Linked DNA regions of Mus musculus. The protein of the gene in region 5 purifies or fractionates together with the protein of the main gene of each other region. This does not show direct contact. Links are inferred from orthologs where the notes say so. Each region holds a gene or a part of one and is shown on either strand. Other genes may lie near its edges.

Evidence for each region.
Region 1: the proteins of Nek2 (region 5) and Anapc7 purify together in Homo sapiens (affinity purification with mass spectrometry; 3 studies listed by BioGRID and IntAct, with this or other methods). This does not show direct contact. The link is inferred for Mus musculus from reciprocal best matches to the Homo sapiens genes NEK2 and ANAPC7.
Region 2: the proteins of Nek2 (region 5) and Anapc2 purify together in Homo sapiens (affinity purification with mass spectrometry; 4 studies listed by BioGRID and IntAct, with this or other methods). This does not show direct contact. The link is inferred for Mus musculus from reciprocal best matches to the Homo sapiens genes NEK2 and ANAPC2.
Region 3: the proteins of Nek2 (region 5) and Cdc26 purify together in Homo sapiens (affinity purification with mass spectrometry; 3 studies listed by BioGRID and IntAct, with this or other methods). This does not show direct contact. The link is inferred for Mus musculus from reciprocal best matches to the Homo sapiens genes NEK2 and CDC26.
Region 4: the proteins of Nek2 (region 5) and Anapc4 purify together in Homo sapiens (affinity purification with mass spectrometry; 6 studies listed by BioGRID and IntAct, with this or other methods). This does not show direct contact. The link is inferred for Mus musculus from reciprocal best matches to the Homo sapiens genes NEK2 and ANAPC4.
Region 6: the proteins of Nek2 (region 5) and Anapc1 purify together in Homo sapiens (affinity purification with mass spectrometry; 3 studies listed by BioGRID and IntAct, with this or other methods). This does not show direct contact. The link is inferred for Mus musculus from reciprocal best matches to the Homo sapiens genes NEK2 and ANAPC1.

What each region holds. Positions count from the first base shown.
Region 1 is NC_000071.6:122,420,545-122,425,623, reverse strand, and holds the start of Anapc7 (anaphase-promoting complex subunit 7), read right to left. Parts: upstream 3,181-5,079; 5' UTR 3,047-3,180; coding exon 2,946-3,046; intron 1-2,945. UniProt on the Homo sapiens protein: Component of the anaphase promoting complex/cyclosome (APC/C), a cell cycle-regulated E3 ubiquitin ligase that controls progression through mitosis and the G1 phase of the cell cycle.
Region 2 is NC_000068.7:25,270,680-25,275,686, forward strand, and holds the start of Anapc2 (anaphase-promoting complex subunit 2), read left to right. Parts: upstream 1-1,786; 5' UTR 1,787-1,836; coding exon 1,837-1,998; intron 1,999-2,235; coding exon 2,236-2,858; intron 2,859-3,120; coding exon 3,121-3,253; intron 3,254-3,986; coding exon 3,987-4,161; intron 4,162-5,007. Other genes in the region: Ssna1 (Sjoegren syndrome nuclear autoantigen 1 homolog), read right to left, coding at 795-902, 1,250-1,449, 1,619-1,670. UniProt on the Homo sapiens protein: Together with the RING-H2 protein ANAPC11, constitutes the catalytic component of the anaphase promoting complex/cyclosome (APC/C), a cell cycle-regulated E3 ubiquitin ligase that controls progression through mitosis and the G1 phase of the cell cycle.
Region 3 is NC_000070.6:62,405,207-62,410,081, forward strand, and holds the start of Cdc26 (anaphase-promoting complex subunit CDC26), read right to left. Parts: upstream 3,420-4,875; 5' UTR 3,346-3,419; intron 1-3,345. Other genes in the region: Prpf4 (U4/U6 small nuclear ribonucleoprotein Prp4), read left to right, coding at 3,669-3,695, 4,369-4,546. UniProt on the Homo sapiens protein: Component of the anaphase promoting complex/cyclosome (APC/C), a cell cycle-regulated E3 ubiquitin ligase that controls progression through mitosis and the G1 phase of the cell cycle.
Region 4 is NC_000071.6:52,832,198-52,837,223, reverse strand, and holds the start of Anapc4 (anaphase-promoting complex subunit 4), read right to left. Parts: upstream 3,090-5,026; 5' UTR 2,961-3,089; coding exon 2,832-2,960; intron 1,547-2,831; coding exon 1,441-1,546; intron 1-1,440. UniProt on the Homo sapiens protein: Component of the anaphase promoting complex/cyclosome (APC/C), a cell cycle-regulated E3 ubiquitin ligase that controls progression through mitosis and the G1 phase of the cell cycle.
Region 5 is NC_000067.6:191,819,902-191,824,763, reverse strand, and holds the start of Nek2 (serine/threonine-protein kinase Nek2), read right to left. Parts: upstream 3,292-4,862; 5' UTR 3,119-3,291; coding exon 3,023-3,118; intron 2,618-3,022; coding exon 2,400-2,617; intron 2,273-2,399; coding exon 2,032-2,272; intron 1-2,031. UniProt on the Homo sapiens protein: Protein kinase which is involved in the control of centrosome separation and bipolar spindle formation in mitotic cells and chromatin condensation in meiotic cells.
Region 6 is NC_000068.7:128,683,809-128,688,568, forward strand, and holds the start of Anapc1 (anaphase-promoting complex subunit 1), read right to left. Parts: upstream 3,588-4,760; 5' UTR 3,345-3,587; intron 2,253-3,344; 5' UTR 2,229-2,252; coding exon 2,016-2,228; intron 856-2,015; coding exon 694-855; intron 1-693. UniProt on the Homo sapiens protein: Component of the anaphase promoting complex/cyclosome (APC/C), a cell cycle-regulated E3 ubiquitin ligase that controls progression through mitosis and the G1 phase of the cell cycle.

The DNA.
Region 1 (5,079 bases), on a different chromosome or scaffold from region 5:
TAAAAAATAAGCTGTATTATTATGTATGTGTACTTAGGAACCTGTGTACAGGTACATACAACAAAATCATTCAAAAGAGTCAAATGGGCCGGGCGTGGTGGCACACGCCTTTGATCCCAGCACTGGGGGGGTGGGGGGGTGGGGGGGCAGAGGCAGGTGGTTTTCTGAGTTTGAGGCCAGCCTGGTCTACAGAGTGAGTTCCAGGACACCCAGGGCTACACAGAGAAACCCTGTCTCGAAAAACCAAAAAAAAAAAAAAAAAAAAAAAAGTCAAATGGGATAGATGGAGTCCATAATCTCAGAACTTGAAGGTAGGAGCAGGAGGATCAGGGGTTCAAGGTCAGCCTCAGCTTCACGAAGACCGGTGTGCTGGCTCAATCATCATTTAATTCCGACACTGTGGAGTCAGAGGCAAGTGGATCTCTGAGTTCCAGGACGGCCAGGGCTACACAGTGAAGCTGTGAGGTGGGAAAAACAGAGGCAAGCAAAGTACTGCTTCCTCGGTTTTGAACCTGACCCAACCACCATCCTTCTCCAGAGAGCACTGCTTTTCATGTATCACTCCAGAGACACTACTCGCTCGGCAAGTATGTTACAGTGTGTCTTAGTCAGGGTTTCTATTCCTGCACAAACATCATGACCAAGAAGCAAGTTGGGGAGGAAAGGGTTTATTCGGCTTACACTTCCACACTGCGGTTCATCACCAAGGAAGTCAGGACTGGAACTTAAGCAGGTCAGGAAGCAGGAGCTGATGCAGAGGCCATGGAGGGATGTTCTTTACTGGCTTGCTTCCCCTGGCTTGCTCAGCCTGCTCTCTTATAGAACCCAAGACTACCAGCCCAGAGATGGTACCACCCCACAAGAGGCCCCCCCCACTTGATCACTCATTGAGGAAATGCCTTACAGCTGGATCTCATGGAGGCATTTCTTCAACTGAAGCTCCTTTCTCTGTGATAACTCCAGCCTGTGTCAAGTTGACACCCAAAACCAGCCAGTACACAATGACCATTTCCCGGGCAGAGCGATATCTTAGGTAACTGTAAAGGCTAGATCCAGCTGCAAGGCATTTTAGGTAAGAATTCTACCACTGAACTATGTTATCAGTCTTATTTTGTTTTTGGACAGTGTGTACACTGTCTCTTCAACAAATATCAAAACATAAAGGATGAAGGTCAGAACTTATCTGCTTCCTGTAGCTAAGAACTTGCCAATCTAACCTAACGTGGAAAAGCATGGGTTAGCCCAATTCAGTCTAACTAGAGGAGGACGCTCTATAGCGTTCAAACAGTGCTAGAACGTTGTCCCGACCCAAGAGTAAAGATTAGGGCATTATCCCCAACACAGGAAACCATTTGCTATGAAGCACCACTAAGATTCTGGGGAAAAGTCCTCAACATCAACACAGAAGGCTGACAGAGACCAGTGTCCCTCGTGTCACACTAAGAAGCTGGTGACCGGGCTGGTGAGATGGCTCAGTGGGTAAGAGCACCCGACTGCTCTTCCGAAGGTCCGAAGTTCAAATCCCAGCAACCACATGGTGGCTCACAACCACCCGTAATGAGATCTGATGCCCTCTTCTGGAGTGTCTGAAGACAGTTACAGTGTACTTACATATAATAAATAAAAATAAATAAATAAATAAAATCTTTAAAAAAAAAAAAAAAAAGAAGCTGGTGACCAAATGATGTGTGTGCCTAGTCGGTCCAAAGCACACTAATGAATTGGAGTGGGGGGTAGTGACTGAATTACAGGCCCCTCACAGCCCTTTGGCTGTCTCACTAGACTAGCCTCAGCCACGCCAAATGCAAATGTCTGCACGGAGTAGAAGGCTACTGTAATGTTCTTTGGAAGCACTAGACAGTGGTGGACTGAAATACAAACTATCTCCAATCATAGACAGATCCACTCGCTCCTCTATGTTCTCCAGGGTGTGATCTTGGTCGACCTACTGGACCTCCCTGTAATAAACACATTTCCTTAGCATTTTTTTTTGTTTTGTTTTGTTTTGAGACAAGGTTTCTCTGTGTAGCCCTGGCTGTCCTGGAACTCACTCTGTACACCAGGCTGGCCTCGAACTCAGAAATCCGCCTGCCTCTGCCTCCCAAGTGCTGGGACTAAAGGCATGCGCCACCACTGCCCGGCTCAGGCAGCGGTTCTAAAGTGAAGCCACCGGTGCCAATGCTTGCTCTGAGAGCGCTCGGGCAGGAGGAGAAATTAGAGAAAAGGAATGACTAGGTTGACTTGCGGAGCCACGTCGAAGAGTGAGCAATGATGGGGAAATTTTTAAGCAAGGCCCTTACAGGCAATTCAAGCCTACAACTGTCCCGGGCTTCCTTTGAGACGCAGTAAACCCGGCTAGATAGAACTGTCACTCCATCGGTAGTGTTTTGCCTAGCACGCCTGAAATCCCTGGTTCGATCCCCAAGGTCCACACGCACACTGAGAGCATGGTGGGGGTGTAAAACACCAGTTAACCCCCCCCCCCCAGCTTCTGGGAGGCGTAGGCAGGAGGGTAAGAAGGTCAAGGTCTTCCTTGACTACACACACACACACACACAGCCTGGGGCAGGCTAGCCTGGGCTACAGGAGACCCCTGTTTGTAAACACAACCACACAAAACCAGTCACTCCCCGGCGGCAATGTCGGGCCTTACATTAGACTGCCAGGGTTCCTTTTAAATTAAAAAAAGGCGCCACCGCGCCCGCCACCGATGCTCTCAGTCTCGGAAAGTGGGGTCCCCTCCCTCCGCTGGGGTGGCACCCCCACGGCTGACACTCGGTGGACTGGGTCCCCGGGACTCAGGGGACTTCGTCGTTCTGGAAGGAGCCAGAACTCCGAGGCCACCGAGGCCGGATCCCGCGCAGCCCTCCGCGGGACCACACCGTCCCCCCGCCACCGCCAACCCCGGCTCCCGGGACCGCCACCTCCCCGCCTCTCCAACTCACGGGTTGTTGTTACTCATGGTGAGCAGCAGGCTGCTGAGGAGCCGCACGTTGGAGTGCAGTCCCGCAGCCGCCATGTCCCGCACGTGGTCTATCACACTCATCCTGCCCGGCAACACCGTGGCCCCCGGCGACACCGCGGCACCGGCAGCGGCGGACAGAACTCCCGGGAACCGAGAGCAGAGGCTCGGGGAAAGTTCCAAAATGGAGACGGCGCCGGGGTCCTTCCGGTCCAGACGCGGCTCCGCCCCCCGAAGATGGAGGTAGCCACGGACGTGCCTGAGTAAAAAGAAGCAGCGGCGAAAGGGTTTTCTCCATCATCATCATCTTCAAAGCCATCCCAGTAGGAATCGTAGTTTTGCTGCGCTAAAGACAGCCTGAGAGGAATGGATGCCTCGCGGAGGCTAGTAACAATGCACAGGAGTTCATCCTAAACACAGCGGAGGCGGAAAACGGACAGTTAAAAATTGAATTTTCGAATCAGGCGCGCAAGGGCTGGCTTTCTCCAACTACGGGAGCGTCCTAGGCGAAGGTGGCACGCCCCCCTCTCCTGGCGACTCTTGTCCCTGTCACTGGGAATAGATTCCTTGGTGCAAGGCATGGCTTGCCCGTCCAAGTGACCCGCTAGATCCAAGTGCGAAGAAAAGATAGTTACAGGGATGAGCTGGATCTCTGATCGCCCCACTGTCAACATCTCAAGCCTTTACGAACTCGTTACTGCATTGCATATTCACAAATCGCAATGCTGAAGCCATTTCCATAGAGGGAGAGAGCCGCCTCAGAAATTAAAACTGCATGCTCTTGCAGGGGAATTCGGTTCCTAGCACCTACCTGGTGGCTCACAACAGTCTGAAAGGCCAGCTCCAGGGCATCCGACTCCTTCCTCTGGCGTCTATGGGCACATACATGCATGTGGTGCACAGACATACACACTCAGGCATGCAGATACTCATAAAAATACATTGAAACAAACAAACAAACAAACAACAACAACTTGGATCTGGAGAGATGGCTCAGTGGTTAAGAGCACCGACTGCTATACCAGAGATCCTGAGTTCAATTCTCAGCAACCGCATGGTTGCTCAAAACCACATTTAATGGGATCTGATGCCCTCTTCTGGTGTGTCTGAAGAGAGCAATGGTGTACTCATATTCAATAAATAAATAACAACGTTGGCAGGGGGTGGTTTAATTCTAGCACTTGGGAGTTGGGCCGATCTCTGTGAGTTAAAGATTAGCCTGGTTTATAGGGTGAGTTCCAGGACAGCTAGGGATACGCAGAGAAACCCTGTTTGAAAACGCTTAAAACAAACAAACAAACAAACAAACAAATAAGTACTTTGAATTGTCAGTCCTTCTTTGCCGACAAGGAAACCAAAACTTTCAAATGTTGAAGCTGGGCAGCCTGAGAGTAAAACCACTTATCAGCAAGGCTAGTTTTGTAAATTCAATCCCCTGTGTGGGAGGAGAGACCTGACTCCTTCACGTTGTCCTCTGAGACAGCCGCATGTGCCTCTCACTCGCACAAAATAAATAACTACATGCAATTAAAATGTAAACAACTGAAGCTGTTTGCTTAAATTTGAGATTCAAGGCCATTTTTTAAAAAAGATTTAGTTATTTATTTTATGTATATGAGTATACACTGTAGCTGTCTTCAGACACACCAGAAGATAGCATCAGATACCTTTATAGTTGGTTGTGAGCCACCATGTGGTTGCTGAGAAATGAGTTCCGGACCTTGGAAGAACAGCCAGTGCTCTTAACCACTCAACCATCTCACTAGCCTATGACAAAGACATCTTGACCCCACGTGAGGAGTGGGTGTGGCAGCAGTCCCAAGAAGGTGCCCAGGACTGCAGCTAAGTCTTATGACTTGCACCTGACTTCCTCATACACCTGAAAATAAGCCACAACCTTCATGAGAGCTGCGCAGGTGCACCAGGATACTGGCGAATCCATTTTGGTGGAGACATGCCCCTGCTGCCCTGATTGGCTGAAGCTGCGTGCCTGGTGAGGTGATATGGCCTGCTGTGAGTGGATGGGGACTGAGAGTATATAAGAGTGAGAGGCCCGGGGTTAGAGAGAGAGAGATAAAGTTGGGAGAGAAAAAGATGAAGAGAGAGAGAGGGAGACT
Region 2 (5,007 bases), on a different chromosome or scaffold from region 5:
AGCTGTGACAAAGGGCTGGGTCATAGGGCACATGGAAATAGTAAGTAAGCAACACATGTGGTTGGAAGATGGGTCCTAACAGCAGCAGCAGCAGATTGGACCAAACAGAACTTACTGTCCCTGTCTCTATCTCTGAGCCAGGTTCTGTATTGAGCACCATCGTAGAGCAAAGCCCCTCACAGAAAAGTGGTTTGTGTTCTGGACTTGGGGAAAACACCAGCACCTTTGCAAAGAGAGTTAAGGGCTAGGGCTGACCTGTGTGAGGTGAGTACTTTCAGCATTTTGTGTTTTGAAGATAAGAAAGGGAAAAACTGCAGGTCTTCTTACCAACAGGATATATGGTAGCTAGCAGACACAGATCTTGCAAAACAACCTTTATTGAAACACCAGAGGCCATGGGGATGGGCCCTAAGGTTTTGGTTCTGGAGTCAAGATTCTTTCTTCAACATGTCTGGCCTGGGGCCCTAGTGGCTGGGGAGACAAAGTGAGGGGCTCCCACAGTACTCAGACCAGGACCAGGACATTCCTGGTAGCCCAAAGGGATTCAGGAGCTTCAGAGAGAGGCCCCTCATGGAGCTGCTCAGGGTCCCCACAGCACATGTGAGTACGGAGCTGGGAACACCTCTTCCATTGGACTGTCCTAGGGCTTTTCTTGTCTAGGCAGGTGGAGGTCAGAAATTGCCCCTCTGGGCACCAGAGATAAAAGACATCTGAGGCCACGAAGAACAAAGATGCTTTAGGACAGACATGTTGAGGACTAAGCAGCCATAGGCCACGGCTGAAACAGGCACTCGTCAGCTGTCCTTGCCTCCACTACTCTTCTGGTCTGAAGCTGTGGCTTTAGTCAGGTTCCCAGCTTCTCTTTTGAGTACACTAAGCAGAGTCTGAGAGCTCTCCAGGATCTGGGGCCAGAGAAATAAAAGGATGTTATTTCTCTGGTAGGAAGGTCCCATTGCCTCAGGCTCTAATAATGGAGGATGGAAATCTCAATTTGGTCATCTGTGCTGTAGCCAACTGGTTATGGAGTAAAACCATCCTCCCTTCTGCACCTGTCCCAGAGCTCTTCCACCCTGCAAAGCCAGGCTGGGTTAATTCAGGCCCACACCGTGTACTCTGTCCAATACACCAATGCTCACTTTTGGAACCCACAGACAGCCCACTGTTCCACCTACAGCCTCTGAACCACAATGGGCCCTACCTAGCCTCAGATGGTAGTAAGGCACTCACAACAGACATCTGAGAGCCCCACCTTGAGGTAGGCGGCCTCGGTTTCTGCGATGGTCCGGTCAAACTCGTTGCGAGAGGCGATCTTGCGCGCCAGGTTCTCGTTGACGCGGGCCAACTTCTCCGTGAGCTGCCTCACCTCATTCTGTAGCCGCTGCTTTTCGTCCTCCTCTTGCTGGATCTGCCGGCACAGCTCCTCTCGCTTCTGACACAACTCCTCGATGCCTAGGGTGGGTGGGAAGACAGAGCTGTGGGTGGGGACTCGTGAGCTTCCGACCCCAACCAGCAATGACAGAGGGGCAGGCCGCAGAGCGGGGCTCGTGAGGCATGTCCACGCAGCCTCCCGAGTGGGTCGGCCGGCCCCGGCCCGCGGCCTTCAGTGCCCGACGCTCACACTTGACCAACTCGTTGTTGTAGTTCTGCAGCGCCGCGCCCTGTTGGGTCATGGTCTGCACCGCGTCCGGAAGCCTCAACCGCCGCCTGCACAGCTAAGTCCGCACCTGCGCACTGCCCACAAAGCGCGCGGGCTGGTGAACGTCACGGCTGCGCCACAGGTCCGCGCTTGCGTCATCACCGTGCGCTCTACTGGGCGGGTCTGTTTTGTGGACAGTGATGGAGGCCGAGGGTGTGGCGGTGGCGGCGGCGGCGGCGGCGGCGGCGGCGGCGGCGACAATTATTGCCTCCGATGACTGCGACTCTAGGCCTGGACAGGAGCTCTTGGTTGCCTGGAATACTGTGAGCACCGGTCTGGTGCCGCCGGCCGCGCTGGGGCTGGTGAGGCCGGGGAAAGGTTGTCGGGCCTGTGCAGATTTCCCGCGACTTTGCATACTTTAGGGGGTCCACCCTTGGGGCCTCACAGCTCCGTGGCCTGCCTGTAGTGGGCTTGCCTCCTTCCTCAGCTACCTGATTTGTTTGGTTCCCTGGCAGCTCTTCGGTTGCTGGGTTTTTCCATGCCCCTCCTCTCCCTTTACCCCTATTCCGCCCCTCTGCTCACGGTTTTCCGTGCTCCAGGCGTCTTCCCGGACCAGCGGTGCAGTCCCACCAAAGGAGGAAGAGCTTCGTGCAGCGGTGGAGGTTCTGAGGGGACACGGTCTGCACTCTGTCCTGGAGGAGTGGTTCGTGGAAGTGCTGCAGAACGACCTTCAAGGCAATATTGCCACGGAGTTCTGGAATGCCATCGCTCTGCGAGAAAACTCTGTCGATGAGCCCCAGTGCCTTGGGCTGCTCCTGGATGCGTTCGGTCTGCTGGAAAGCCGCTTGGATCCCTATCTGCATAGCCTAGAACTCCTAGAGAAATGGACTCGTCTGGGCTTGCTGATGGGCGCTGGAGCTCAGGGGCTTCGGGAGAAAGTTCACACTATGTTGCGGGGAGTCCTGTTTTTTTCCACCCCTAGGACATTCCAGGAGATGGTCCAGCGCCTCTATGGTCGTTTCTTGAGAGTCTATATGCAGAGCAAGAGAAAAGGAGAAGGGGGCACAGACCCGGAACTAGAGGGTGAGCTAGATAGCCGGTATGCCCGCCGCAGGTACTACCGACTTTTGCAGAGTCCTCTGTGCGCAGGATGTGGCAGTGACAAGCAGCAGTGCTGGTGCCGGCAGGCACTGGAGCAGTTCAACCAGCTGAGCCAGGTCCTGTGAGTACTGCTTCCTAACCATGCTGCGGTTTCTCTGCAAGCTTCATTAGTCCTGAATTCAAAAGACCTCTCAATAGAGCTTATAGACTAACTGGCGATGTCTTTTTTGCCCATACTTGTAACCAGGGATTATTGTTCATCACGTTTATACTGTCCTGGACATAGGCATAGGGTGTGTGTGCAGTATCTTTATGGGGAGAGCCCTCCTAGGTAAGGGACAGATGTGTGTTGTGGGTTCTCCATGAGCGGGGATCTTTTCTAGGCATAGGCTCAGTCTGCTGGAGCGGGTTTGTGCTGAGGCCGTGACAACCACCCTGCATCAGGTGACCCGGGAAAGGATGGAAGACCGCTGCCGAGGAGAGTATGAGCGCTCTTTTTTGCGTGAGTTTCACAAGGTGAGAATCACCTCTCTGGTCTGTTTCTTGTTAAAGGCAAAAGTGGAGTTGTGGTAGACCTGATACCAAACAGTAGGCAAGTTGACCAGGAGTGGTGATGGTTGAGGTTATCCTGGTGCTGTCTATAGAAGCCAGTCCTGGATCCTGATGACAAGAACAAATCTCGTATGTACTAAATAGGTCGTGCATTTAAAATAAAAATTTTAAATCCTGGACCAGAGGTAGCTACAACGAGTTTCCTCAGGTAGGTGTGGCAAGACAGGCCTACGAGACCCTTTTCTTTCCACTGCCTACAAGTTTCCATTGCCTACAGTTCCCTTCAGGATTAACCTGTAACCAGTGTACACTCTAGCATGGAGCTAGGGTGTCCCAGTGAATGCTTCTGGTTGCCCATACTGTTGAGGTATGGTTTGTATTGTGAAGAAGCTAGGTTCAGCCCCATGAAGCCATAGACCTTGTTTCTGCTTCACTCCGTACTTCCCATTCTTCAAGAGTCTATCTGCTGTGGATGCATATTAGCCATGATGGGGAGTGATTAAAGTGGGTGTCCCAGCAGTCTTGGCCTAGAGTCGTAAACTTGGAAACTCCTGGGCAGTAGAGTGTAGACTTGATACTTCTGGCCTCTACACACAGGTTGGGGCACCTCTAGGGTCCTGCCAAAGGTGTGTGGTTACTGAGTCAGAAGGGAGCTTTTAAATGTTATTACACCTCACACACTAATGATCTTTCACAGTGGATAGAGAGAGTGGTTGGTTGGCTTGGCAAAGTGTTCCTTCAGGACAACCCCACCAGACCAACTTCTCCAGAAGCTGGGAACACACTGCGTCGTTGGCGCTGCCACGTACAGAGATTCTTCTACCGTATCTATGCCACCCTACGCATCGAGGAGCTTTTCAGCATCATCCGAGGTTGGTCCTGCCTCTTAATTTTCAGGAGCTACCTTTCCCAGTGATTGCCTTTGCTTTCCCTTCTGCTGTTGGCAGGGTGGTGAGCATGGTAGACTCCCTCTGACATGGCTCAGAGTCTAGGTCAGCATTGAGCAGGTGCTTCTAAGTATCCACCTCCCCCTTCTTCTCCCTCTAGCTCTGGTCCCACTTGCTCTGGCCCATAGGCATTATTTGTTTCTAGTTATGGATGGTTGTGAACCACCATGTGGTTGCTGGGATTTGAACTCATGACTCCTGGAAGAGCGCTCAGTGCTCTTACTGCTGAGCCATGTCACCAGCCCCTAGGTATCCACTCTTGTTTCTTTCATCTTGGTTCCTACTTAGGACTGGCCCCATGTCATGTGTGGTTATTATAATCAAGTGTCAATATATAGAAGAATGTAGGGTAGAGCTGGAGAGATGGCTCATCAGCTAAGATGGCTTGTTGCTCTTACAGAGTACTCGGGTTGTTTTGAGCACTTATGTAGCAGCTCACAGCCATCTGTAACTCCATTTCCAGGGGATCAAACACTATCTTCTGCCCTCCACTGGTACTAAGCATGCACATGGAACCTATACATATGGGCAGGCAAACAGTCCCTGTAAGCAAATACATATAGAAACATTTTAAATCTTAAAAATTAAGGTTTGGGGGCTGGTGAGATGGCTCAGTGGTTGGGAGCGCCGACTGCTCTTCCGAAGGTTCAGAGTTCAGATCCCAGCTACCACATGGTGGCTCACAACCATCCATGACGAGATCTGACTCCCTCTTCTGGAATGTCTGAGGACAGCTACAGTGTACTTATATATAATAAATAAATAATTAAA
Region 3 (4,875 bases), on a different chromosome or scaffold from region 5:
AGTGACCCATTGAAATGAACATTTACAAGTTTAGATGTGTGGACAAAAGTGTATACTATGTGACGCACCATGACACACTACAGGTTCCATGACAAATTTTGGTTTATTCTATCTTATTTTATTTTAGTGGCGGGAGTAGTTGCAAGGGTAGAGGGTGGATACGAAGGGACAGGGAGACGAGTGGGATTGGGGTGCCTGATGTGACATTCAAAGAATCAACAAAAAGCTAGGCTGACCTTAGTACTGTTGAAGGTATCGTCTTTATATCCTCTACAGTATCCATGATAAATAAAGTTTTGGAGTAAACTGAGCTACACAACAATAGAGAAGGTGAAACTAACTTGTCGGGCAGTGAGAGGTAGCCTGGTCCTCAGTTGAGCTAAAAAGGCTTTGAAGCCCTGGGGACCCTGAAGAGATGGTAGGTAGGACCTTCGCCTGCTCCCAGGCACCAGGCCCCTGTCACTAACTGCAGTCCCCCATAGATTTGTGGCCATCAGTCATGTAAGGGCAATGCCCCAAGCCCCCCACCCCCAACATAGATGAGGCATCACTAACATCTCAGACCAAGACAAGAGGAAAAGAAACGTGACCACCATAGGATCAAGCCAGATCTCCATTCTAATGAGTTGCCTAAAGGCCTGGAGGGCATAAGCAATAAGCTTTCCTTCCCAGACACTCCTCCCTGCAAAATGTATTTAACCTCAGGCCCACCCTGAGAAGTGGGGGCATGATTTTATACATCCACTTTCCTCTATGACAATAAATGCCTTACTACTATGGACTGCCTCTTTTCATCGGGATCCACCATGGGGAGCCATGGAGAAGGCCTTCGACTATAGAGCCACTGTCTAGTCCTGTAGAAGGCCTTTCTGCACTCCCAGCCACCACTGCCCACCAAGCCCAAGCCCAAGCCTGCAGTCAAGCCAAGGACTCTCCCCGTGTGACCAGCCATTGTTCCCCTTCCCCCCACCACACACAGCCAGCCAGCTGCTCCCCCACTCCATTCTCAGCTCTTCTGGGGCTCCCAGCGGGGCCTGGATGTTGGAAAGCCTGAGAACCGACCACCCCAGCCTCATCACAAGCAGGCAGACCCCCAAACCAGCTCCCACTGTTCCATGCCTCAGACTGCCCGCTTTCCCACCAGCAATGTCCTGGGGCTTCCCTATGGCCCAGCACCAGCCCTGAGCTGGCATGAGGTAAGTGCAGTCAAACTCCCTGTGTCCTGCCTCCCCAAGCTGCAGAGCAGACTCAAGACCCACAACCCTACACTAACTTTTCTTAAGTTCTAGACTCTACCATTATTGGGTTTTTTTTTTTCACTTTAGTAACTAAAAATTTTTGCCTCTTAAAAAAATTATTTAATTATGTATTGGGTGTTGGTGAAAGCACACAATTCACAAGCATCGGTCAGAGGACAACATCTGGGGTCAGTTCTCTCCTTCTACCATGTGGGGCATCACACTTAGCACAGGTTCCTTTACCCACTAAACCGTCCCACATTCGCATTCTTTGTATTATTTTAATACAGACACCTTGGGAAACTTGAAAAATTATTCCAGTTTTATAAAGTTGAAGCAAACAGTTTAGTTAATATCAGAAGCCGGGCAGTAGTGACACACACCTTTAATCCCAGCACTCTGAAGTCAGAGGCAGGAGGATGTCTGTAAGTTTGAGGTCAGCCTGGTCTACAGAACATGTTCCAGGACAGCCAGGGCTACACAGAGAAACCCTTCTTGAAAAACAAAAAATGTGGGCTGGAGAGATGGCTCAGCAGTTATGAGCACTGATTGCTCTTCCAGATATCCTGAGTTCAAATCCAGCAACCACATAGTGGCTCACAACCATCCGTAATGAGATCTGACACCCTCTTCTGGTGTGTCTGAAGACAGCTACAGTGTACTTACATATAATAAATAAATAAATCTTTGGGCTGGAGCAAGCAGGGAGAGCGGGGCCTGAGCAAAAAAAAGAAAAACAAAAAACAAAACAAAACAAAAAAAAAGCTAAATCAGCATTCTATAAAAGTTACACATAGGGGCTGGAGAGATGGCTCAGTGGTTAAGAGCATTGACTGCTCTTCCAGAGGTCCTGAGTTCAATTCCCAGCAACCACATGGTGGCTCACAACCATCCGTAACAAGATCTGGCGCCCTCTTCTGGAGTGTCTGAAGACAGCTAGTGTACTTACATATAATAAATAATTTAAAAAAAAAAAAAAAAACAAAGTTACACTTAGACCACTAAAATAAAAAGCTAAATGATAGTGATCTACATGAAAGTTTTGCTATAGTGTGCATTCATAGAAATTATTATTGCGTGCATCCAGAACGAAACAAAACACTACAATGTATAGGAAACATTTACACTTCTCTCAGGAGGCTTAGCACAGCAAGGGGTGATCTAATCAAAACACTGGCCCGTGACATTTCAAAACTGCTTTATTCTATCAGATACTACTTTCTACCAGATCCTTACGTAGAGAAATGGAAGTCAGCTCCAAGGGGGAAAGGAAGAAACACTTAGAAAAACAACAACAACAACAATAATTCCCTACTTGCGAGGGAACTTTCTGAAAGCCTCACCACTAGAGAGCAATAATGAGTACGAGTTAAAAGCGCGGCTCGGCGGCTCGCGACCTGCCACGTTACTAATTCTACTACTACGGCTCCAGAACGACCTTTTCTCACCAGAATGTTTTTTGGTTTTTTTCGGGCTTGTACTCTTGTCCGTGACTGAGATGACTAAAACAGAATAAGCTCGTTGCGCGTAACTCGGCATTAGTAAGTCCTCGAAAAGGAAGTGCTCTTCTAATTGGAGTTGTTCGGGGCAGGGCCTTGAGTGTGGAAGTGAGTCTGTTCAGCTCGGCAAACGCGCATATTTTTGTAACCCCCACAACTTTCATGTAAGGATTTTTTTTTTAAAAAAAACCTTATCTCTGATGGCCTAACATTCATTGGAGCTACTACTGCTGATATGCTCTTTATCTGGAGCCTTCATGGACCCTTTATTTCAAAGAACACAGACAAAGAATAGGCTGTAGACAAGTAAACCCACAACAAACTAGGCCGCAGCTCCTCCACCACATCTCTATTTTAGCCTTAGAAGGTCTTAGAGTTTAATATCTTCTTGAAGCCCAAACTGATTACGTAGCCACCGAGTTACGAGGGGCCCCCGAAGGACTTCCGTCGTGGACAACAGTCCTCTTTCCCAGCTCCAAGGCTGCAGAAGTCTAGGGAGAGATTTCCATGGCAACACAGGCCTCAGCTTCGAAATGGCGGAAGGCCTCCCGAAGGATAACAGAGACCCTCGTTTTGTTCCAGATTATGGTTGCGATCCGCAAACCTACCTCTTTTCAGGCCTCTGCAGTTCCCCAGAACCTCAACTCCCACCATGACTCCATTGCTGCGCAGCCCAAACTACACCTCCCAGGCTGCTCTGCGCCTCTCTTCCCATGCTCCTCTTCTCCCGCGAGGTTGTGTAGCTCTGTAAGGCCACGCCCCTCGACTCCAGCCGACCTTTGGCAACTACCATTCCCAAGATACTTCGCACGTAGTACGTTTCTGATACGTTTCCGGCCAGTGACGCACTTCCACTTTGCTAGGCGCGCGGTTCCCGGTCTGAAAAGTAGAACGCGGATTTGGCTAGGGCCTCGCGTCTCCGCCGCCCGGCATGGCCTCCTCACGAGCCTCCTCCACGGTACGGAGCTCTGGATCTAAGCTCAGGCCTGCCCTAGAGAGGCCGGGGGTTCCCGTGGGAAAGGGCCGTTACCTTACGGGTCTGGGCCGAGGAGGAGGAAAGCTGAGGGACCCTAGTGTGGACCTTAGTAGCCTTTTCCTGATGTCTTCGTGTGCTGCAGCTCTCTTTGCACTGCTCTTACTTAAGTCCTGAGCAGAGACCACTCTTTCTGGCTGCTCCAAAACACGGTGCTTTGGAATCGGGTTGTGTCCTGACTTAAGCTGTCCGACTCGTACTTACTATGATGAGGCTTCCCAACTTGTAATCGGCTCTGAAAGTATTTGAAATGTGTATTCCAGTCACATCGTGACTTGGTGCACCTAGAGCCACCCTGATTGTTTAGGTTGTTTTTAGTGTCTGCCCAGCAGTGAGAAGTTATTTTCGTAAAACCGGAGATTGCTTTTCCAGTCGATTAAAGTAACGGGCCCCAAAACAACCAAGACACTTCAGGCAGAAATTGATTGGTCGTATTTGTGTGCCAAACTTAACAAGAGCCTTAACTCGCACAAAGTCAGTTTCGACTTTCTCCTCTAGTTTTGAGAGGAAAGAAGATGAAAGTGCAGCGTTAGCTTCATTCTTTTGGGAAGCATGGTTTGCTGGAACTAAACCTTAGTCCGGGTCTTTGATTTAACAGACAACCAAAACCAAAGCGCCTGACGATTTAGTTGCTCCCGTTGTGAAGAAACCACACATCTACTATGGAAGCTTGGAAGAGAAAGAGCGGGAACGCCTGGCCAAAGGAGAGTCTGGGATTTTGGGAAAAGAAGGACTCAAAGCCGGCATTGAAGCAGGAAATATTAATATAACATCCGGTAAGATGCAAATTGCAGGTCATTACCCCCACACACACACCCTTTTTTAAACAGTGCTGGGAATCCAACCCGGGTTTTTTTTTTTTTTTTTTTGCATGCTAGGCAACTGTTCTGCCACTGAGCCATACATTTCCATCTCCCCCCACCCCCCACAGTCTCTTACCTTTGACCTCAAACTCCTCCTGCCTCCTTCCTGGTCGCCACCATGTACTTTTGATGATTCAATATTCTGATGAACACCTTCCCAAACCACATAGTATTAGGTTTATAGGCCAAAACCTTCTATTGGTCTGGGGAGCTAGTTCAGGTGCCAAAAGCTTTTCTCTGTG
Region 4 (5,026 bases), on a different chromosome or scaffold from region 5:
CACAGTGGTTAGTGTTCACTTAACATTCAAAGCGGCAAATCTGTTTACACTGGCCTGAACTAAGCCTATCGGAATAGATGAATTCAGATCAAAATGCACAAACAGATCTCTACACACATTGTCAGAGCTGCTCACCAAAACAGCTATCAAACAAGCTTTAAGTACTTATATTTATTTAAAAAAAAAAAAAAAAGAAAAAGAAAAAAACAAAACTAAGCAGGAGGACATACTCATATTACAAATGTAATTTATTTTTTTTCTTAAAGTACCTTCAGGCTTGCTCAACCTTTTGCCACAGTGATACAATGTAGTTAACCATGAAGTTCACATTAGAGAACTATGCAATCACATTACAAAAAACAAAAAAAAAAAAAGAAAAAAGAAAAAAAAATAAGAATAATAATAGAGAAACCCTCCACAAACAAAGAAACAAAAAAAAAAAAAAAAAACCCAAAGTTTTGAGGACGTTAAAATTTTGTGCTGGGCCATATTCATTGTTATACAGAGTCCCATGTGACTTATAGACCACAAGCTGGACACCCTGATAAACTTCAAGCTGCAGCCCATAGCAATTTACTATTCTAACACTAGGACTAACTGCTCCAGAAACTATCAATTTAAGAAACTAAACAAGACAGCACAGTGGTGGTGCAAGCCTTTAATCCCAGCACTTGGGAGGCAGAGGCAGGAGATTTCTGAGTTCGAGGCCATCCTGGTCTACAGAATGAGTTCCAGGACAGCCAGGACTACACAGAGAAACCCTGTCTTGAAAAACAAACAAACAAACAAACAAACTAAACAAGATACACACACACACACACACCCCCATGGAAGATGAATGATCTGAGCCACGACAGCAGGAAAAGACCTTTGGGAAATGTAGAGTCACAGTGCGCAGCCCCTCCTGAGTGGTAGCTTACATAGAGGAGATTTATGAACCTCACATTTAGTACTAACTGAATTTGGGGGAGAAAAAGACTGTGATGGCACTGAATGGACTCATGAGTGGTGAATGGTACTTGGATCAAATGATGTAGGACAAGAGAGCAGAGAGAGCCAAAGCCAATTATTCTGCAAATGTCTCAGACTTTGATCCTATCTGCCACAAAGCCAGGGCTCATTAAAGACTTATCCCTGCCAACAACAGACTTTCATGAAAAATATAAGCATTCTAATAAGAAAAAAAAGTCTCAAACTAGTACTTATAGTTCTAATATAGGGCCAGATACGGTAGGCCACACATGTCCTTAATCTCAGCACCTGGGAGGCAGAAGCAGGTGGATCTCTGGTTTACACAAAGAGTCCTAGGCCAGTCAGGGTTATACAGTAAGACCTATACAACAGAAACAAAACCATAATTCTAAAATATACCAAGAAAAAGTACTGTTTTTAGACTATCCTTTTGGAAATAAGAGATACACGTTTGTAGCATTATCATACGTTTGCCGTCTGGTCTCCAGGCCAAGCAGGTCACTTCTTTTCCTGTACTTTCATTTGGTGGGAAACTCCAAACTCGATGAAAACTTGCAAGGCGATGCAGCAAAACCTAAGATGAAAAGACATGATAGCAGAAAGCTGCAAACTCACCTGCAGAGATAAAATGAACCTAGACCCACAGAACAAAAATTTTAATTACTACTTTTGAGTATTTTTTTTTGCAATCTACAGAACAACAGTGTCCAAACGAATGTAAGACATTTTCAAAGAAATGGGTGAACTCAGAAGGCCCAACTTAGTCCTGTACTCTACATATTTTCTTTCTTTTTTTTTTTTTAAGGTACACCTACATGTATGTATTTGTACCACATTTGTGCAGTCAGTGCCCCAGGAGGCCAGAAGAGGCCATCAGTTCTCCCTGGAACTGAAGCTACCGACAGTTGTGACCATGTGGGTGCTATGAACCAAACCTAGGTCATTTATAAGAACAGCAAGTGCTCTTGATAGCTGAGCCATGTCTCCAGCCCCTTTTGTATCTTTTAAACTTACCTTTTTGAAAAGGTTAAAAAGCCTATCCAAGACAATAGACAAAAGAAGTAACACAAACAACATGAATATGTAGGTGACATAGTAAAATAACAACAATAATGACTGCACTCTTAGCCCACGCCTTAGCTATGTCACCAGCCATGGATCTTAGAGACAGAGCCGTGCCACACAACACGATAATGCAATCTGGCACACTAAGCATTTCTGGGTGCTAGGCCTTCCTTACCACCTAGTTTTACATAGGTGAGGGTGCTAAGTGGCATGGATGATGGGACCCTTTCAAGATGGCTGTCAGGTAATAGTCATCCTCCACAGAAAGATGGGTATCTAGTTGTACTTGATATCGCATGTTCACGTTCCTAATGTCAGAAATGCTAACTGACAACGTCCACACGCATTCTGTCTGCAATTCTGTGAGGCATCAGCCTTTCAACTTAAAGATCTTCTAAATAGCTAGATGTAACAAAGATGTAAAACCTCGGAACCAAGCATCCTCTGTAGCAACTGCACACACACACACACTTCCAGTTGGACTTGACAGTTCATCTTCATTCTCTACTAATCTGAAACCAACTTTGGGCGGGGTCTGATGGTGCATCCCTGGCCAAATCAATTCCTGGAGTCCTGGGTGTGCAGAACTTGGAGGGAATTTGTTCTTCTGGGCCATACAGGAAATGGAATACACATCCTGTCTGGAAGGCACAGTATTTTACACAGTCTCTTAAAGTTAACAGCCATGCTGAGATGTAGGGGCAGGAGAGATGTGCGATTCGCCACGTCTGCCAAAGGGGAAACTGAGGCTCGAGGGTCCCAGCCCAGGCGACCTCTCTCACCAGCTCACTTACCTCGCCTGTAGTGTTGGCCAAAGCAATGAGGTCTCGCTTGGGGGACCAGGCCAAGAAAATAATCTCCTGTGGCAGCTGCTTCTCTCCCACCACCCGAAAGGATGGGAAACAGGTCGGAAAGCGCAGCATGGGTGCGGCCCTGCAACGACGTGCGCGAGAAGGCCGCCGGAGCACCCGGCCACAAAGCTCTGGCACAAAGCCCTGCCAGCAGCGGTACCTGCCAGAGTCGCAGACTCGGCCTACTCCTAGCCAGCGGCCTTCCCCGCCCTCTCACTCCGCCCTCCGCGCTCGGAGAAAGCTTCCGGCGCCGACGCCGGGACGTCTTCGCGAGAGGAAGTGAGTGGCACAGCAGCCGCGCGCCGGTGGGGCGGGGAGAGCGCAGGGCGGGGCTTGATGTAGGGCGGAGCCGTGTGGGCGGGGCGAGCGAGTGCTTAGGGCAAAGTTAGCCTAGGCTACAGCGGGTGAGGGCGGGGCTAGAAGGGAGCGGAGCTAGGCCGTAGCTGGGCGTGGCTAGGGCGGAGCGAGCTCTGGTGTCTCGGAGGTCCCCTACTCTGGGCTGCCCGCTGCACAGCAAGTACCAAAGGAATCCTTAACCCTGTATACGCGGACGTGTGGGAACCCTTCCAGGCCTTTTCCGTTTGCTCAGAAATTCGCTGCTGTGTACACAATCCCTTTTGTTCTAGGTTTAGGCTCTAATCAAAACTCCGGACTCACACACTGGACCTCCTTTGGCACACAGTCGTTTTCAGCCCTGGATGCATTGTAGAATTTAAAACAACAAACCTCTCTATCAGGCAGCATTTTAGCAAATTAAAAGAGGGTTAACATTGGACGGAAATCACCATTTAAAAAGAAAACAAAACACTGAATGATTCCTATCTACAGACATATACTGTTAAAGTGCTTGCACCCTCCCTAACAGGGACAAATAGTGTGTTTTCTTTCGCCTTATTTAAATGATTTCTTGACTTGTAGCAAACTCACCACAGTTAAGAGGAAACAGGATTTATTCTGTGGCTATCTAAGCATTCAATTTTGTGAGAAAATGTGGACAGACACTGCCCAGGCAACCTCAATTGTCAATCTGTTGATCACAACTGCTCTGGGTTTTAAGTATAAAGACCACTCTGCAAGAAGGGAGAGCAAAGTAAGTCTACATTTTATCATCAGTAGTACTGTTTATCAAAACTGTTTCCCTCTGTCATGGTTTGAATATGCTTTGCCCAGGGGGTGGCACCATTTGGAGGTGTGGCCTTGTTGGAGTAGGTGTGTCACTGTGGGTGTGAGCTTTAAGACCTCATCCTAGCTGCCTTGAAGTCAGTATGCTGCTAGCAGACTTGATATGAAGTAGTAGAGCTCTCAGCTTCTCCTGCACCATGCCTGCCTGGATGCTGCCATGTTCCCACCTTGATGATGTCCGACTGAACCTCTGAACTCAGAGATCTGCATGGCTCTGCCGCCTGTAATGCTGGAATTAAAGGTGTATACCACCATGCCTGAATCTAAACTTAGCTGGATGGGATCTTACCCCCAATCCCTTAATCTTTTATTTCCTAGAACGTAAGATTCAGCTCCATTTCACTTCCTGGTGCCCCTTTAATATGTGAACCACATTTTGTATTTTTCCTTTCTAAACTTGCTATGCTTATTTAAAATGTTCTTCATGAGACTTAACCAGAGAACAAGGTCTCTGCTGGGCTTTTTTGAGACTTTGTCAATGCAATTAATATAAGTCTCTTTATCTTAGACTCAGGTAGACTCTTAAGACAAAGGCAAAAAGCAGCCACAATCTTCACCAAAACACTACAAAAACAGTTTCTGGGCCATATTGAAACTTTCCTCCACTGAACCGTCTTGAGCCAATTCTGAACAGTTCAAATCAATCTCAGCAACTAAATCTTTCATATTCTTACTAGGATAGCCCATTAAGCCCCACTTAAAGCATTCAACTGCTTTCCAAATCCAAAGTCCCCAAATCCACATTCTTCCAGACAAAAGGCCTATCACAGCAATACCCCACTTCTGGTACCAACTTCAATCTTAGTAAGAGTTTTTACTGCTGTGAACAGACACCATGACCAAGGCAACTCTTATAAGGACAACATTTAATTGGGGCTGTCTTACAGGCTCAGAATTTCAGTCCAGTCCATTATCATCAAGGTGGGGACATGGCAGCATTCAGGTAGGCATGGTGC
Region 5 (4,862 bases):
TGAATGGGCTCAGTTTCCCTGAGACATCAGCTGGGAGAAGTAAGGAGAGTGTTAGATACTGCTGTGCTTTTATAACAGTGGACGGAGGATGTGTGTGTGTGTGTGTGTGTGTGTGCTGCCCCTTACAGACTTGAGGCTGGTTGGTATTTACTTGTGCTTTGCTTCTGTTTTTTGAGACAGGATCTCACTATGCAAATCAGACTGGGATAAAAAGCAGGCCCTGACCTTGACATCTAATGACAGATTAAAAACCTGTCATGTTTTTGCCCTAACAATTGTTCTACAATCTAATAATCAGAAATGAGGACTAATTCATACAAGGCTATGCACCTAGGGTGCCTTATGATAGTGAGACATTTGGGAACACCCTGTAAATGCAGAAGAGCAGCAAGGACAGGACATGCAGAAATTAACACTAAACACTGGATCCCTCTGTGAGAAGACCTGAGCCTCACCAAACTTTCAGTTACTGTAATGCTAAATCTGTCCACCTAACAGCATCTAAAATCACCTAGGACACAAGTCTCTGTGTATATCACTAAGGGAATCTAGACTTAGCTCAGCTGGGGAGACTCACTCTAAATGTGGAGGCACCATTCCCTGGGTCTGGGTCCTAAACTCATGAGCAGTAGCAAGTACCTGAGCATCTCGGTTCACCTCAGCTGCCTGCTGAGACAGCGTGACCAGCGGTGCTTTAACTTTGGGTCCAGGACTCCGTATGTTAAAAAAATAAAATAAACACTCCCAGGGAGTCTGAAGTCACCACTTTAGGACTGACATCTTCGGAAATATTGTTGCCTTTAAACACTATTCCCAGCTGAGCAGTGGTGGCTCACGCCTTTAATCCCAGCACTCAGGAGGCAGAGGCAGGCGGATTTCTGAGTTCAAGGCCAGCGTGGTCTACAGAGTGAGTTCCAGGACAGCCAGGGTTACACAGAGAAACCCTGTCTTGAAAAAACAAAAAACAACAAAACAAACAAACACTATTCCCCTTGGAAACATTGTTGCCTTAAACATTATTTGTAACCCTATAATTTAGCATTTTGTGGTTATTGAAGAACAAAACAAAAGCTGAGCAACATGGTTCACACCTCTAATCCCAGCAGCGGCAGGCAGATCTTTGTGAATTCCAGGCTAGCCAGAACTACAGTGAAACTCTGGGAAATGGGGGACACTGAAGATGGCTTAGTGGTTAACAGCACTTGTTGCTCTTACAGAAGACTTGGATATGGTTTCCAGTCTCTCAATCCATCCATAACTCTAGCTCCAAAGAGTCCAATGCTGTCTTCTGACCCCCTTGGGCATTTGGCACACAGGTGGCACACTTACATACATGTAGACCAAACACCCATACACATAAATAAGTCCTTAGTTCTCTTTTTCTTTTGAAAGCTCTAGTTGAATACAGAGAACTGTTTGCCAGGAAGTCTCTTTGAAAACAAATCTAGGAGGGGTCAGCGATTAAGCACCTGCTGCTCTTCCCGGGGGTCCTGAGTTCAAGTTCCAGCATCTGGTCAGACGGCTCACAGTTGCCTGGAACCCTGAGCGTGAGTGTGTGGGATAGGGTAAGTCCACTCCCTCTTCTGGTCTCACCATACACATAGCACTCACTCACAAGACACATATACTATATATACATAAATAATAAACATTTTTAAATACATAATACATATAAAAGACTTTGGGGTGTAACTCAAATGCCTGAGGGCCTAGGTTCAATCCCCAACATTAGGGGAACAAAGTCAAACTCAAACTTAAATTGTATTGTGAATTCTGAGCTACTGGATTTACTAGCAACCCAAGCCTCAGTTCTTTGCATCTGAATGCTTCACCTAAGATATTAAAAAGTTGAATTCTAGGCCAGGTGTGGTAGCTCACACCCTTATTCCCGGCATTTGGGAGGCAGAGGCAGGAGAATCACTTTGAGTTCAAGGACAGCCTGGTCTACAAAGTGAGTTCCAGGACAGTCAGGGCTACACAGAGAAATCCTGTCTCAGGGAAAAAAAAAAAGTTGAATTCTAAAATACTCACAGGAGACATGTAATAGGGTGTGCCAACAAACGTTTTTGCAAAACTCGTGTCGTGATTTAATATTCTAGCTAGTCCAAAGTCCCCCAGCTTGACATTGTGTTTGCTGTCCAGGAAGACATTGGCTGGCTTCAGGTCCCGGTGAAGCACAGTGTGGCCACCATCGCTCCTTCTGTGACACTCTTTCAGGGCCAGCGTCAACTGAGTCATCACTCGAAGGACAAACTCTTCCTCCAAGTACTGTCTGGAGAAAAAGCACATTTCACAACCCTGAATAAAAGCCATCTTCAATCTGGGGCAAGTCATTCAGAGCGTACAAACATGGAAGTTAATTATTATTAGATACGAACCGTGGGGCTCTTTCACCTTACCTATCCTTGGTCCCCTTTGAAATGACACTAGCCAGGTCCCCTCCCTCACAGTATTCCATTACGATGTACAGGGTTGTGTTGGTTCGGTCAATAATGCGATCATAGTAACTGACGATGTTTGGATGTTTCAGCTCCCGAAGCAAGTTCACTTCAGACACAAGCATCTGCTTCTCCACCTCCGTCATGGAGCCATAGTCAAGCTCTTTCCACACCAGGATCTGAAATACAACATTTCCAAGGTGTGAGACAAAGGGTGAAATTTCCAAAGTTGAAAAACAAAACACTAACAACTCAATGGGTGTGTCAGTGAGGGAGTCGAGACCGGGTTAATTTAGTGGGAAGACCCACCCGAAATGTGGGCGGTACCATCCCCAGCGCTTGAGTCCGGGACGGCGTGTGGCGCAGCGGCGAAGCAGGTCACGTGAGCTCGTCTTTCTGCTCGCCGCGGATTCGCGCCTCCACCGGTTCCCAGCCGCGGCTGCCCGCTCCACGAGCCCGTCCCTTCTTAGGAGGCTACAGCCCGGTCCTTCACGAGAGTTCAGGTGGCCGCCCTGCCCCTCCCCAGCGTGGGCGACGCTTGCTTCTCCCTAAGCCCGCCGTGGAAGGGCTGCCCGGCGCCTCACCTTGCCGTCGCTCTTCCTCCGAATCTTCTGACAGCGGCCGTAGGAGCCGGTGCCGATGCTGTGCAGCACCTCGTAGTCCTCCACCCGGGACGGCATGGCGAGCGGCCACCCTGGCAACCACACCACCGCGCCGCTCGGAGCCCAGGCTCGCCCGCTGCAGGCCAACCGCGCCGAAACCCGAGCCCCTCGTCTGCCTGCCTGAGTCGGCGAGCAACCGGCCACCGGGTCAACCGTCGCGGGCTTCGGCCTCGCATTCTATTGGTCCACAGCGAAGGTGCATCTCAACTCTGATTGGCTGAGAAAACACAACACTGCTAGGCATCCTGGGAAAATGCGTGTCGCTAGGCAACCGCGTCGGCGTTGGTGTCTGCGTCTAGCTGCTCTACGGAATACGAGCCGCGCCGAAAACCCCTGGGATTTGGGATCGCAAAGCCTGTTGGGGCCTCGGTAATTCCATTCCTTGGCTGAAGTCGCTATGGTAACGGATGTCCGAGGCTCTGGACTGGAGACACTGGCCTTTTGACCTTTCCACTTTGACCCCACCCTTTTCCGACTCCTCTGCACTCGGGTCCTGAACCTAAGCCCTTGTGTGTTGAGGATTTGATGACCCTGAGGGTGCGGTGAGTGCACCGAGCACTTTATAGTCCTCACACCTAGAGAGCCAGAATCCCTGTTCCAGCCCGGCTTGGTGGCGCGCTCAGGCAGATCTCTGTGAGCTTGAGGACATCCAGAGCTTTGTAGAGGGTCCCTGCCTTACCCCCACCCGCGAGAAAGACACCCCACGCCCAGAGAGAGAGAGAGACAGAGAGAGAGAAACTAGGCCCAACTGCCCAGAAGAGAACTAATTAAAAAATAATAAGAATAAAGGATATTCATAGTAATAACGCAGAGTTGACATGTGTTTTCTGAGCACAGTTAGCATAGTCTAGATCTCTGAACATTAAACTGAGAGACCTGTTGAACATAGAAACGTATCCAAAGCTTAGGGACTGAGTATGGAAGCATTCAGAACAGAGTCACCACACTGCCAAATTGTACTTCTAAGACATCTACCAAAAAAGTGTGTTAGGAAAAAAAAAAAAAAAAAGGTGTTCCCTAATAGCCAATCCGGGAGCTGCATGCAGTTTGCTGACTTGAGCTCACATAGCCAGTGACATGGCCCCGCTTTGACTTGGGGAAGGGGAGCTAAAGGCTTCCATCCAGAGCAGGTGGGGGGTAATGTGCATTACCAGAAAGCTAATAATCTGCTGCATAAATGGGTCATTGTTCTTAAAATATCTGTTCATGCTGTGATTGAAAAAGAACCCAATGTCCTATTAATAAGAATTAGAAGCCTCCTTATGTTAAAAATAAATGTATTTTGTGCGCTGAATTTAGTATAAGCTAATTGGAATTGCCAGCCAGGAGAACTTTTAAATTAGCATTCAAGGACATTGTCACACCTCAAAGGGGTAGGATTAATTTAGGTCTCAGAAATTATATAAGGAGCTACAAATGCCTGAGGTCATTTATATGGTGTGTGTGTGTCATATGTGATGTGTGTGGTATGTTTGTGTGTGTGTCGTATGTGATATGTGTGGTATGTTTGTGTGTGTGTGTCGTATGTAATGTGTGTAGTATGTTGTGTGTGTGTGTGCTGTGTGTGTTGTTTATGATGTGTAGAGTGTTGTATGTGATATGTGTAGCATGTTGTGTGTGTGGTGTGTTTGTGATATGTGGTGTATAGGCGTGTGGTGTGTATGTGATGGGTGTACTGATGCTTATGTTGAGTTTGTTGACCAGCCTGCTTCACACACAACCTTTCATCTTCTTTCTAGACAAAGAGCTCTTACTCTTCGCT
Region 6 (4,760 bases), on a different chromosome or scaffold from region 5:
GAGCTTCAGTTGGGGAAGTGCCTCCACGAGATCCACCTGTAAGGCATTTCCTCAATTAATGATCAAGGGGTGAGGTCCCCTTGTGGGTGTGCTATCTCTGGCCTGGTAGTCTTGGTTCTATAAGAGAGCAGGCTGAGCAAGCCAGGGGAAGCAAGCCAGTAAAGAACATTCCTCCATGGCCTCTGCATCAGCTCCTGCTTCCTGACCTGCTTGAGTTCCAGTCCTGACTTCCTTGGTGATGAACAGCAGTATGAAAGTGTAAGCTGAATAAACCCTTTCCTCCCCAACCTGCTTCTTGGTCATGATGTTTACACAGGAATAGAAACCCTGACTAAGACAACTAAGCAAAGAATAATGTGAAGAATGTGATAAGATTCTGGAAAGATGACTCAGGAATTAAAGGCTAGGCTCATAACCAAAAAATATAGAATGTGATAAGCCAAACACGGTGATAGGTGCCTGTCATATTCAGAGGCTGGGGCAGGGGGATCTCAAATACCAGTCCAGCCTGGGCTACAGAGACACTGTCATGATGGATAAAATGAAAATCTTACTTTCCTGCCAGACATAATGTACAACCAGCTGCTACAATTGTTACACTGTTGTTGTCATTTGTTATCATTTTAAAACTCAAACTTCTTTTCCAAACAGCTATATTAACAGTTGTTTGCTGTGCAAACTCAGTAAACTCACCTGCTGGACAGTGCTGTCCACTGTGAACGCTTTGTACACTGCCAGTGCCTGGCTTTTACTCCCTTTGCTCCAGATAACCATGTTCCCAGCCACATAGAGCTCTTCATCGTAGTCAGCTGCATCTCCAATCTCACTCACACCTTTTCTTAACTGCCAGCTTTCCTTAAAAATTAACACACAGGACATGCTCAGCACTTCTTCTTTTTCAGTAGTTTGAAGCAAGATTTGCCTGTAAATTAAGACTCAACCCAAGACTAACTCCTACAAGGATTGCAATACATAGGTGAGCACAATGAGTGAATTAGCAAAGTGGGCACATTACATCACGGGACTCTTGAGATAAGTTAAGAGAGGTAGGAGAGATGGCTCTGTGGTTAAGAGCACTGGCTGCTCTTCTAAAGACTGGGGTTTGATTCTCAGCACCTACACAACTGTCTATAACTTCAGTTCCAAGAGATCTGAGCCCTCTTCTGGCCCACATGGCCACTACACACACATGGTGCACAGACATACAAGCAGGCAGGTTTTTTAAAAACTGACTCAAAAATTCTCTATAAGAAGTACTTTATTTTATACTTCTATGTTCCTAGTATTGCTCTGCCAATAACGCAGGCACACAAAAAGTATCTCTTACATATAGAGTATAAGATAAAACCCATGCTTGAAGGGAAACTAAAAGTAGGTATTAAATGTATGTAGAAGGCATAAAATAGACAGGTGCACATAGGACTCAATGGGGGGACTTCCTTGCTTCACAGCTGCAAATATATTATTTATCTTCTTCCCCTTGTCCCACACATAAGATGAATAGAAGCTAAAAAGTTTCTGATTTCTATCTATCTATGTACATTCCAAGAGATTTAATTTCAAAGGCAAATACAAAGACTAGGTAAAGCAGAAGAGAGGGGCAGCTTAAACCTCCACGGTCAGTCTGGGCTACTGACTAAGGTCCACCTCAAAATAGAAAGTACTACTATGCTAACACCCTTATGTGACATCAACCCTCTTCTAGAAACATGTGTTGCAGGTACCACTTCTAACCTCTGGCATTTAGTCACCAAAGAGTATAAAACCTGATTACCCACATCTGAAGTGAGGATAAAGTTTAAAATGAGCCATGATTAAAGTACTCAACTCTCATTACAAGTTACACAGCATGCCTATGTAGGCAGCACCATATTTCAGCACTGACTGAAATGACCAAACATTAGCTTTTAACCAAGTGCCAACATACACTTATTTCTCACATGCATATAGGCAGCTTTATATTAGCACGGTATTCATTCTAAATTTCAAAAGTATGATGAGAATCTTAATAAAACCTTCTGTTTCTCATGGATTGTAACCTCCTGAAGAGATCCCACCAAGCCAGCTGCACCATCAGAAGACCATAACTCAGAGGCTGGCTGCAGCTGACGAAGCTGAAGGTTCAGAGCGTTAGGGTGGTGCTTGCAGTGGTCTCGGCCAAAAGGAACAAATTCCTGCAAATCCCCGGCTGCAATCATCGTTGCCCTTTCTTCAGAGAAGTTCGACATGGGTTCCAAATATGAACATTATTTCTGTGTGAATCCAAACGCATTCTTGTCAGCCTTCTAGTCAAAACTAAGTTATTACTACAGAGACCCGAGTGGAGCTAGGTCAGAAACATGGGGATCCACCTCACAGACATTTCGACACACGGCATGTAAAGATAACTAACATTCAAACATTCTGTGGCATAGTATGTGCCTTTTTGTCTCTGAGGAAACCTCTACAACAGCATTTGTTAGCAGCACTATAACCCTCAGTGTTTGAAATGGCACTTAAGAATAACAACTGCTAACTAAATTTGACTTGAAGCTCTCATCTAAAGTCTTGTTGGCATCATTTTTTTTAACAATCTGAAAGCCTCTAGTTTATACGAAGCCCTCTATAGCTACAAAATCTTCCTTGCTGTGACTTAAACGTCATTCCTGAAATGATTACGCCAAAAAACAGGCCCAAGTTTCTTTTTCACCTCCTAGAAATAAAATCAATATTGAGAACAGAACTTGAAAAACACATATGCCTTATGAAAAGTAGGGGCTTATCAAAATGTGGCTGGCCTTTCCAAATTCTATTCAACAAAGCAGTCAACATTAAAGAACTTGCAACTTTACCCGACGTTTCCTCATGCAAACATGCAATGTCATTCCCTTTTAGCTTAAAACGAACCTACAGGATAACTTTTTATAGCATCATTTTCTCAGTTAGATGCCTTTTAACCCAAAGACATCATACTTAATACTTTTACAGTTCTCCAAAAGTTGTTAAACGTGTTATTCGTTACAGGCCACATAAAAGCATTGAGTTGACATGCTAGAAATAAAACTGTCATTACTGGTTACTAGGAACATATGCAAACAGCGGGACCCTGAGCTGGGTCTCTACAAAAACAGGCTTTCCGTGCTTTTGAGTGAACCGCGCCACGGCGTAGCGGCCGGAGCATCGGCTCATGGCGCGTCGGGCCAACCCGGAAAGCCCAGTCTGATACTGGGGTTCCTCTCACCCCAGCAGGAGCTCAAGGCCAGCCCCGGGGCGCTCAGCCCTTGGGGCACCCGGTGCAGCGAAATTCCAACACCAAGTCGCAGCGATGCGCGACCCGGCCCGGCCCGACCCGGCCCGGCCCGCACCTGAATAACTCGGGACGCGTCAGGCGCTTGCGAGCCCCGGCTGCTCCCCGGAGGCACAAGGGCCGCGAAGGCCCGAGAGCAGCGACAGGACCGTCACGATGACTCCTCACCGCCCCAGTTTCTCATCCCTTTTCCCTCCCGGATGCCGGAGGAAGAATGGGCGGCAGCGGGACACCAAAGACTTGCGAACAACTCAAATGGCTGGAGCCATCTTGGATTTCCCGACCTGCCTCGCGCCAGGGCAGAGCCAGGCTGGGGACGCGCGGCAGCGGAGAGGACCTAGCGCCTGCGCAGTTGAAAAAGGTGTCTGTGCAAGTGCCTATAGCGAAGGCGGTCACTTAACGACGTTACCTCTTTAACAAACCAAATCTCTAAGATCCTGAACTACCTTCTCAATTGAGCTAAGTTAGGTAATTTTTTTTCCCAGCTGGTTGAGTTTCCTTCTCATCTCAAAAGGGGATGTGTGCCTCCTGGCTGATGAATGGGAGCGGAAGGGAGACCACTCATTTTCTCAGGATTGCATGGAAAATTCTCTACCCGGAAATCACACACCCCCACCCAAGATGGGCTTTAGTCCGTTAACTGTTCGTCATCGCTAAGAAAAAAAAAAAAAAAAAAAAAAAAATGGTGAGGCCTATCATAGCCTAAAGAATAAAGAGTTCCAGTCCATTTCTTTGCTCCAAAATTCAGTTTGTTGGAATTTGATAACTTCACTGTAATTGTCTATTGTGATACACATTTATTTTAGTTCATTCTCATCCCTTTTCTTGGAACGCCATCCTTCAGAGCTTGAAGCTGCACTGCAACAGGAAGGCTTGCTCTTAGAACTTGGTGAGCGGAATGCCTGCTTAGCTGAAATTCGCTTGCCTGGATAATCAAAAACAGTCAAATTAACACATATTCCACATGCTCTGCTCCGACCTCTTGATTCCTCCCCGCAAAACCTCCCTATCCTACAAAGGCCTTTCTATCACACACTAGGCTATCTGGAAGAACAAACAGAAGAAAACCCAACAAGGAGCACACGTAAGTGGCCTGTCAATCTCACTGCTTCCATTCTCTACCCTCTACCTCTTGCCCCATCACACAGTTTGTCTACAACCCCATCAACCCTACCAGGAGTCACTTGGACTAGGATACCCCACTCTCCACTGTGTTCTGAGCAACCAAGCCATTGTCATTCTCCTTGAGTCTATGATATCTTCTGCCACTGCCAGCCTAGGATGAGGGAGATGGGGATTGCCTTCTGAAGAGGCCGTACTTAGAAACCCAAACCGATAGGGAACAAACTGGTCGGTGAATGAAAACAAGGACGTGACCACTCCTAGATATGGTTGAGGAGGTTTTTATTGTAGATATTGAGGAATTGGGAGGAGTTGGGCTACAGCTCTTCTCTGCCGGGTGTCCTTGGTAAAA